2 linked regions of the Mus musculus genome follow. The protein of the gene in region 1 purifies or fractionates together with the protein of each later gene. This does not show direct contact. Links are inferred from orthologs where the notes say so. Each region holds a gene or a part of one and is shown in the gene's direction. Other genes may lie near its edges.

Region 1 (3,546 bases):
GGCTATCCTATGGCAGGTTCTCGTTAGAAATGAAATCTAAGGTCCCTGATGTGCTCAAAACCTTTGCCAGCTGGCCCAGCATCCCTCTTCCCTACGGCCACTCAGCTTCATCTCTCATTAACTCCCCTGCTTTGACCTAGGTTGAGCCTCCTGCCTGGAATGACCCCAAACATCTGCACTGTCAGCAACTCTCCAGACCCTTCTCCTACTGTGGATGGGGGTGGGATGGGGGTGGGGATGGGCAGACTGCCTTCTGCACCATGTACCTGATTTGCCTCTCCTGGTATTAACAGGACTGGGAGCTGGGTGGGTGTAGGGAGAGGTGTGTAAGGCTGAGTCTTTTAAGTTACTTTGGGTTTTGAGACGCGTTCTTCACTGGCCAGGCCATGAGGCTCCTGCCAAGCCACCTGCTTTTTCCATGTCTGAAGTTAACCAGAGTCCGGGCTTCCTGAGCGTCCAGAGGCTAATCTTTGCTCTTCTCCTGTCCACAGTGCCCGGCCCACAGACTTTGATTTCCTCAAAGTCATTGGCAAAGGGAACTACGGGAAGGTAAGTAAGGACCTCGGGAGCCTGAGATCTCTCCCTCTGCAGCCTTCCACCTGCTGTCAGTGAAGGCTCACACACCTGCAGAATGGGTGTGGGGGCTGCCAGGGGAATGCCATCATCCCTGAAGTCTTGTGCCTTTACTTTTTGCAGGTCCTACTGGCCAAGCGCAAGTCGGACGGAGCCTTCTACGCCGTGAAGGTGCTGCAGAAGAAATCCATTTTAAAGAACAAAGAGGTACCAGAGCTCAGGAAAGCTCACTTCCCTTCCTGCTTCTAGGAGGCTTCCCAAGACGGTCCCAGCTCCCAGAGGTCTATAGGGAGCAGCTCAGAAAGTCCAGGGGCACACCAGACCCTAACCTTCCTAGAGGAAGGCAAGCTAAGCCATCTCCCTAGGAACCCATGGAGGATGCAGAACCCTCTGAGCTCTCTGCCCTCTCCAGGTAGCAGGCTCCCAAGTGCGCACTGTGGGCTCACACCACGCCCTTTTCAAAGGCCCCTTCGGCCTGGCCAGCTTGGAAGGGAGGTCTTCCTGCATGAATGGTCTTGAATGGATCCTGACAGTAAATAGCACTCTGTTAGTTTGAGAAATAAAGGTGGCATAACCAGGGGCTAGGGAGATGGCTGAGGCAATAAAGTGCTCTCTGAACAAGCAGGAGGACCTGAGTTTGATCCCCCAGAACCCACATAAAATAGGCTAAGCATGGTAGCATGTCTCTCTAATCCTAGTACTGCAGAGATAGGTCCAGTGATACCCTGTCTCAAAGAATATAGAGGAGAGGGGCTAAGAGAGGCATCTGTCATCCACTTATTACACATGACACAAACACACACAAACACAGAGGAGGGAGGAGGGAGGGAGGGAGGCGGGGCTTTTCAGATGGGTAAAATGGCAGGATCAAAGTCATGAGTCTCGAGTCTCGCAGTAGTATATGCTTTGCTTGTCACCCCAGGTTAGGGGATTCTGGATTTACACTAGTCTGAAAGTGGCTGGGGCTGAGGCTCAAGACACTGACTTCTAAGTACGAGACAAGGAGGCTGGGGACAATCGAGAGCCCACGTGGGCATCTGAACCAAGGCAAGGAGAAAGTGGTAGGCAGGACACCTCCAGAAGCAAGGTCACCTGGAATGTCCCGAACTGTGACATGGACCCTGGTCTGTGATTCCACAGCAGAACCACATCATGGCAGAGCGCAACGTGCTGTTGAAGAACGTGCGGCATCCTTTCCTCGTGGGCCTGCGCTACTCCTTCCAGACCCCAGAGAAACTCTACTTTGTGCTTGACTATGTCAACGGGGGAGAGGTGAGTGGACCATGGGAGGGGAGCTGGCCTTGTGCATACTCGCTGTGTACCCCTGCCGCATCCCTATCGCAGACCCACTTGGTATCCCAAGTACAGAGGCTCAGCCGAGTAAGTCGCTTCCCAAGATAACCCAGTCTATAGCAAGTGGGTCCTCTTCTCCCCCCCCCGCTATACTTTCCTGCCTTTCCCACGAAAGGTGGCCCAGCTTCACTCTCATAGACTCCAGGAAAGGTCACTGCCAGAGAGAAATGTGTGGTCATTATTTCCAATACTGCTATTTCCCACACCCAGGCCACAGGGTAAGAGATAACCCATCACTATCATTTTTTTAAAAAAATCTTACCTGGGCAGTAGTGGTGCATGCTTTTAATCCTAGCACTTGGGAGGCAGGCAGAGGCAGGTGGATTTCTGTGAGTTTGGGGCCAGTCTGGCCTACAGAGTGAGTTCCAGGATAGCCAAGGCTACACAGAGAGAGCCTGTCTTGAAAATCCAACGGGGGAAAAAAAAGAAAAAGTAAAAAGAAAAAATCTTTTTTTCATGTATGTGTATTGCACGCACACATTTTTATGTGTGGGGCAAACATGCGAGTGTGTGTGCACTTGTTAATGGAGGCCAGAGATTGATGTTAAAAGTCACCCCCAGGTTCTCTTTCACCTTTTTCATTAAGTCAGGGTCTATCCCTTAAGCAAACCCAGAGCTTGACATTGTAGCTAGTCTTGCTAGCCAGCTTGCTCTGATGTTCCTCGGTCTCCATCTTATTGAGGATGGAATTACAAATGGGCAGCCGTGGCCACAAGGCATTTAAATTGGTCTCTGGGGATCTGGACTTGGGTCCTGTCTTAGTTAGCATTTTACTGCTGTGAACAGACACCATGACTAACGCAACTCTTATAAGAACAACATTTAATTGGGGCTGGCTTAGGTGGGAGCATGGCAGCATCCAGGCAGGCATGGTGCAGGAGGAGCTGAGAGCTCTGCATCTTCATCTGAAGGCTGCTAGCAGAATACTGGCTTCCAGGCAGCTAGGATGAAGATCTTAAAGCCCACACCCACAGTGACACACCTACTCCAATAGGGCCACACCTACTCCAACAGGGCCACACCTATTCCAACAGAGCCACACCTTCTAATTGTGCCACTCCCTGGGCCGAGCACATACACACCATCACAGGTCCTCATACTTGCATGGCAAGCACGTTAACCACCGAGCCATCTCTCTATCCTGATGTCACTGCCTAAGTAGAGACCTGAGCCACCTGCTAACCCCAAGACAGGGCAGGGCAAGCTGGACACAGACTTGGGCTTTGCTTTGTCTCCCTCCTCCGCTGCACCAGATTTCACCTGTAACCAAGTGTTTTTCAGCCTGAGTCCAGCAGGCGAGGCTTTATTCTGCACATCCCTAAATGATGGCTTTGCAACTCACAAAGCAGACCAAACAGGGAGATCCAAGCTGGGCTGTGTGACGTCCTAACGTTTGGGTGGGAGGAAAACCACAATGTTGCTGGGCATGGCGCCTCACACCTGTAATCCCAACACGTGGGATACAGAGGTAGAAGGACCGTGAGTTCAAGGCCAGTCTGGGTTATATAAAGTCTACCCCCTGCCCTACCACCACCACCAAAGTATGTCTTGAACGACCTGGTTTCAAGTTCCAGCTCTGCCAACTCTGAACTGTGGGACCTTAGACAAATCACTAAACTC
Region 2 (4,228 bases), on another chromosome or scaffold:
GGTGGGGTATCTTTTATATCAGTTTTATCTTTTCTGTAGAGGTCTTTGAGGATAGGGAAGGAATGACCATACCACCATGTGGGTGATAGACATTGATATATATCATATGTGTTATATGGACATTGATATATATCACCATACAAGGTGACATGTATCTTCATAAGTTCTAAAGTGAGACAAGACAAAAGAAACCAAAACTAGGGGCTGGAGAGAAGGCTCAGCGGGTAAGAGCACTGACTGCTTTTCCAGAGGTCCTGAGTTCAAATCCCAGCAAACACATGGTGGCTCACAACCATCTGTAATGAGATCTGATGCCCTCTTCTGGTGTGTCTGAAGATAGCTACAGTGTACTTAGATATAATAATAAATAAATAAATCTTAAAAAACAAAACAAAAAACCAAAACTAAAATAAAAGCAGACATGGAACCAGGAAACATGGAATTTTCCTGTGGCTACAAAATATTCCATAGGTAATTGGGACTTTTATAGTTTCTCCTCCCCTCAAAAAACAAACAAACAAACAAACAAACCAACCAACCAACCGGGGGTCTGGAGAGATTCCCTAGCTGTTATGAGCAGTTGCTCTCACTGGTTGTTCTCCCAGAGGCTGGGAGAGCACAGGATGCTTCCAACTCCAGTGACAGGGGATTCGATGCCCTCTTCTGACCTCTGTTGGGTACTGCACTCACATAGTAAACACACACACACACACACACACACACACACACACACACACACACACACCCAGCAGGCGAAACACTCATCATAAACGTTCTTCTAAGAATCTTCTTAAAAACCGAACAGTTAGAGTTCAAGTCCCCAGGTGCAGCTCCTGAGCGTCTATAGGAGTCACCCAGACGTGGCGAGGGGGTGCCATCTCGAAGCTGACCTAGCTCAACAGCCATCCTTTGGGTTCCTTTTTGACCTCATCACCTGGGCTGCTTGCTGTGTTGGAGAGGCAGAAACCTCAAGGGAAAGCGACATCTTCACGCCCACTGGGTGTCCAGAGAGAGAGGTGCTAGGTGCTACATCGCATTTTCCCAGTCTCTAAGGAGCATCTTCAAGTTCAGGAGGTTATTTTCCGGGGTCAGCATGGCCCGACCTCTGCAGCTCGTGAAGGGCAGGCTGGGTGGACAGACAGGCAAGGCAGACGCTTGTCTGGTCAGTATTTAGTCTGGAGGCAGTGGACGACGAGGCGAGGTGTCAGTCAGCTTCCTCCATCCCTCTTCTCCGGCCCCCACAAAGGGCAAGGGCCAGACACGTGGGCAGCGGTGAAGAGGCGGAGATGCAAACGAACGGGGCGGAGCCTCATTTGCATAGGCAGTGCACGGCCACCAATCGGGACGGGCGGAGCGACAGCCCGCGCGCCTTTTGGGGGCGGATTGGCAGCCCCGTGGCCCTATGGGAGGTGGGTCCTGCGGCCGGCGGGGGCGGGACGACGGCGGGCGCTGCCCGGCGCACTAGCCGGCTTGCGGGCGCTGCCAGTCTCCGGCGGCGGTGTCCGGCGCGCGGCTGAGCGACCGAGCGTGCGGACGGAGCGGCGGCCTGCTGGGCGGGCTGAGCGGCGCGCGCGGCGGCGGAGAGACGCGGAGCGAGGGACGCGGCGGCGGCGGACGCGGCGACAGGTACGGGCGCCATGGCCGCGGGAATGGGGCGCGCGCACGCGGCGGACCCCGGAGCCAGCCCCGTGCTCGCGGTCCCGCTTCTGCCGCCCCTCGCGCGGCTTCCCCGGGATGGCGTGGACGGGACGCGCGGGAGGCCTGGGCCCCGCGTGGGAGGTGGAGCGGCCGGCGCTCTTCTCCAGCGTCTCCCTCAGCGCGGCGGCGGCGGCTCGCTCGCCCGCGCGCGGCTTTTGTTTCCCGCGCAGCCCACAGGTCCGGGGAGCCCCGTGTCGCTCCGCCACGCCGCCCTCCGGACGCGGAGGAAACTTGGCCTTCCGGAGCCCTGCAAGCCCCGCGGATAACGGAGTGCTCCGCCGCGTCCGCGGGGCCGCGCGATGGGCGTGCCGGCCGGGCACCGCCCTCACCTGCCGCTCCCGAGCCGGCTCGCACCGGGCAGGCAGGTGACCGGAGGGTCTCGGAGGTACTGAGGAGGAAGGGCTAATTAAAAGTTGTCTCGGAGGTGGCTGAGCGGGTACAGCCGCTTGCAGCCAAGCGTGACGACCTGGGTTCGATCCCGGGAACCGACATGGTAGTAGGGGAACCGACTCCAACCGCGAGTTGTCCTCTGACCTCCCTGTGTACACAGCACAAACACCACTGGCTCCGATACACATTCTCATCTCTCACCCCCGCTCTCAATAATACTAAGGAAATAAAAGTTATTTTAGGAATCTTCATTCCCTTCGCCCCAGCGGCATCACCACTCCTGTTCCGGCCATAGTCCTTGACTCCAAACCCAGCATTTTGTGTGTGTGTGTGGGATGAATCTAAGGGAGCACGTTGCATTATGACCATCTTCCTCCTCCTCATCTTCGTCTGTGGATGAGCCAGGTGGAGCGCTTGCGCCTCATTTTTTAAATAATTGGTGTCTGCAGCCATGGCGAAAGCGTTGGAAGGTACAGATCGTAAGCAGAGCGTGCAGAACTTGGGACAGCCCTCGGCGGGGCTCGGGACAGGGTGTACAGCGCTTGGCCGCCATTCAGTAAATTCTGCATGCGGCAGTTGGGAGCTGGTGGTTTGGGGATTTTTTTTTTTTTTTTTTTCCCTTCTTCTTCTTTCAGGAGTGTGTTTTCCAGCGGACCAGGGCGTTGAATAGGCACTTTCTTTGCTTCCTTTAGGGGAAGGAGAGAGTGTTTATTTCTATTGTCATCCCATTTTCTTAGGGCTGTGGACAAGGGAAAAGTTAAGGTGTGTTTGGGTTAAGCATTTTGTCTTTTCCTCCCCACTTCTTGCTGTTAGCTTTATATGTTGTTAAAAATTATAGCTTTTCCTCTTGGTGTCTGAATCAATTCAAGAAATGACTTGGAAAAAAATCTTACTTAACCGTTTTCTGTTACTCTCCCAGCTGATCCTCATTTGCCTGACTTTTTGGGGGGGGTATTTTTTTTTTGTTTGATAGTTGAAACATCAAAGTTTTATTCCTTTGTTATTGGGAGTTTACTATTCAATTAAAGCACGTATAAATTTCTGTAACCTAATACTCTCCACACAGCTTTCGCTTTGGAGTGCTACAGAAATGGTGTATTTTAACTATATTTATTTATTTATTTATTTATTTATTTATTTTTCGAGACAGGGTTTTTCTGTGTAGCCCTGGCTGTTCTGGAACTAGACCAGGCTGGCCTCGAACTCAGAAATCCGCCTGCCTCTGCCTCCCAAGTGCTGGGATTAAAGGCGGGCCCCACCACGCCCGGTTTACCTATTTTTAAATGCAAAGGTTAATAATGACACTGGTTTGTTAGCAGCACTGAGTGTTTTTAGCTTTCTTCCCCTTTGTCTTCTGATATGTCTTGTGTGGTAACTGCCTTGGGTGTAATCTATACTTCAGAAATGTTGAACTTCAGAGCACAGTTCGTTTTTATTTAATTACACTAATTGATTGAACAATCATTTTATTCATCTAGCTAGTTTGAGCTAGCTATGAGTTGGGACCACTTGAGATTGATTGATTGATTGATTGATTTTGAGACAGGGTTTCTCTGTGTAGCTCTGGCTGTCATGGAACTCTGTAGACCAGGCTGGCCTCCGAACTCAGAGATCCAACTGCCTCTGCCTCCCGGTGCTTGGGATTAAAAGCACGCGCCACCACTGTCCAGCCACTTGAGATCATTTAAAATTAATTTAGGAATATTTTCTGCAAGTTGTTTTAAAACAAAAGTTCATCAGTGGGGGCTTTTGTCATTCCAACATTTCACAAAAGGATGTTTCTCTATTTACTTTTTAGTTTTTATATCCATCTATCTATCGTCTGTGATAGATCGATCTGTCATTTGTGAGAGTACTTGGCACTGGTGTGGTTGTCAGAGGACAACTTTGGAGTTTTGTTTTCTTCTTGCCCTGTGTAAGTCCTGGACTTGAAATTCAGGTGGCTTAGTTTATTGGCAGGTTCTTTTATCTGCTGAGCAATATCACCAGCCAGCATTTCTTTTTAAAGACAGTTTAAATCACTTAAACATGAAAAGCCTAGAATTTGGGATGAGTTGTTAGTTAATTTTGAGAATTTTCTTTACTTTTGGATTGGAAAAGAATGTGTATTGTGTTGTTAGTTCCTACAGGGGATTCAGTT

The links. The genes of interacting proteins can lie anywhere in the genome.
Region 2: the proteins of Sgk2 (region 1) and Fkbp5 purify together in Homo sapiens (affinity purification with mass spectrometry; 3 studies listed by BioGRID and IntAct, with this or other methods). This does not show direct contact. The link is inferred for Mus musculus from reciprocal best matches to the Homo sapiens genes SGK2 and FKBP5.

Annotation. Positions count from the first base shown.
Region 1 is NC_000068.7:162,993,974-162,997,519, forward strand, and holds part of Sgk2 (serine/threonine-protein kinase Sgk2), read left to right. Parts: intron 1-491; coding exon 492-549; intron 550-696; coding exon 697-780; intron 781-1,713; coding exon 1,714-1,845; intron 1,846-3,546. UniProt on the Homo sapiens protein: Serine/threonine-protein kinase which is involved in the regulation of a wide variety of ion channels, membrane transporters, cell growth, survival and proliferation.
Region 2 is NC_000083.6:28,483,350-28,487,577, reverse strand, and holds the start of Fkbp5 (peptidyl-prolyl cis-trans isomerase FKBP5), read left to right. Parts: upstream 1-1,428; 5' UTR 1,429-1,626; intron 1,627-4,228. UniProt on the Homo sapiens protein: Immunophilin protein with PPIase and co-chaperone activities. Component of unligated steroid receptors heterocomplexes through interaction with heat-shock protein 90 (HSP90).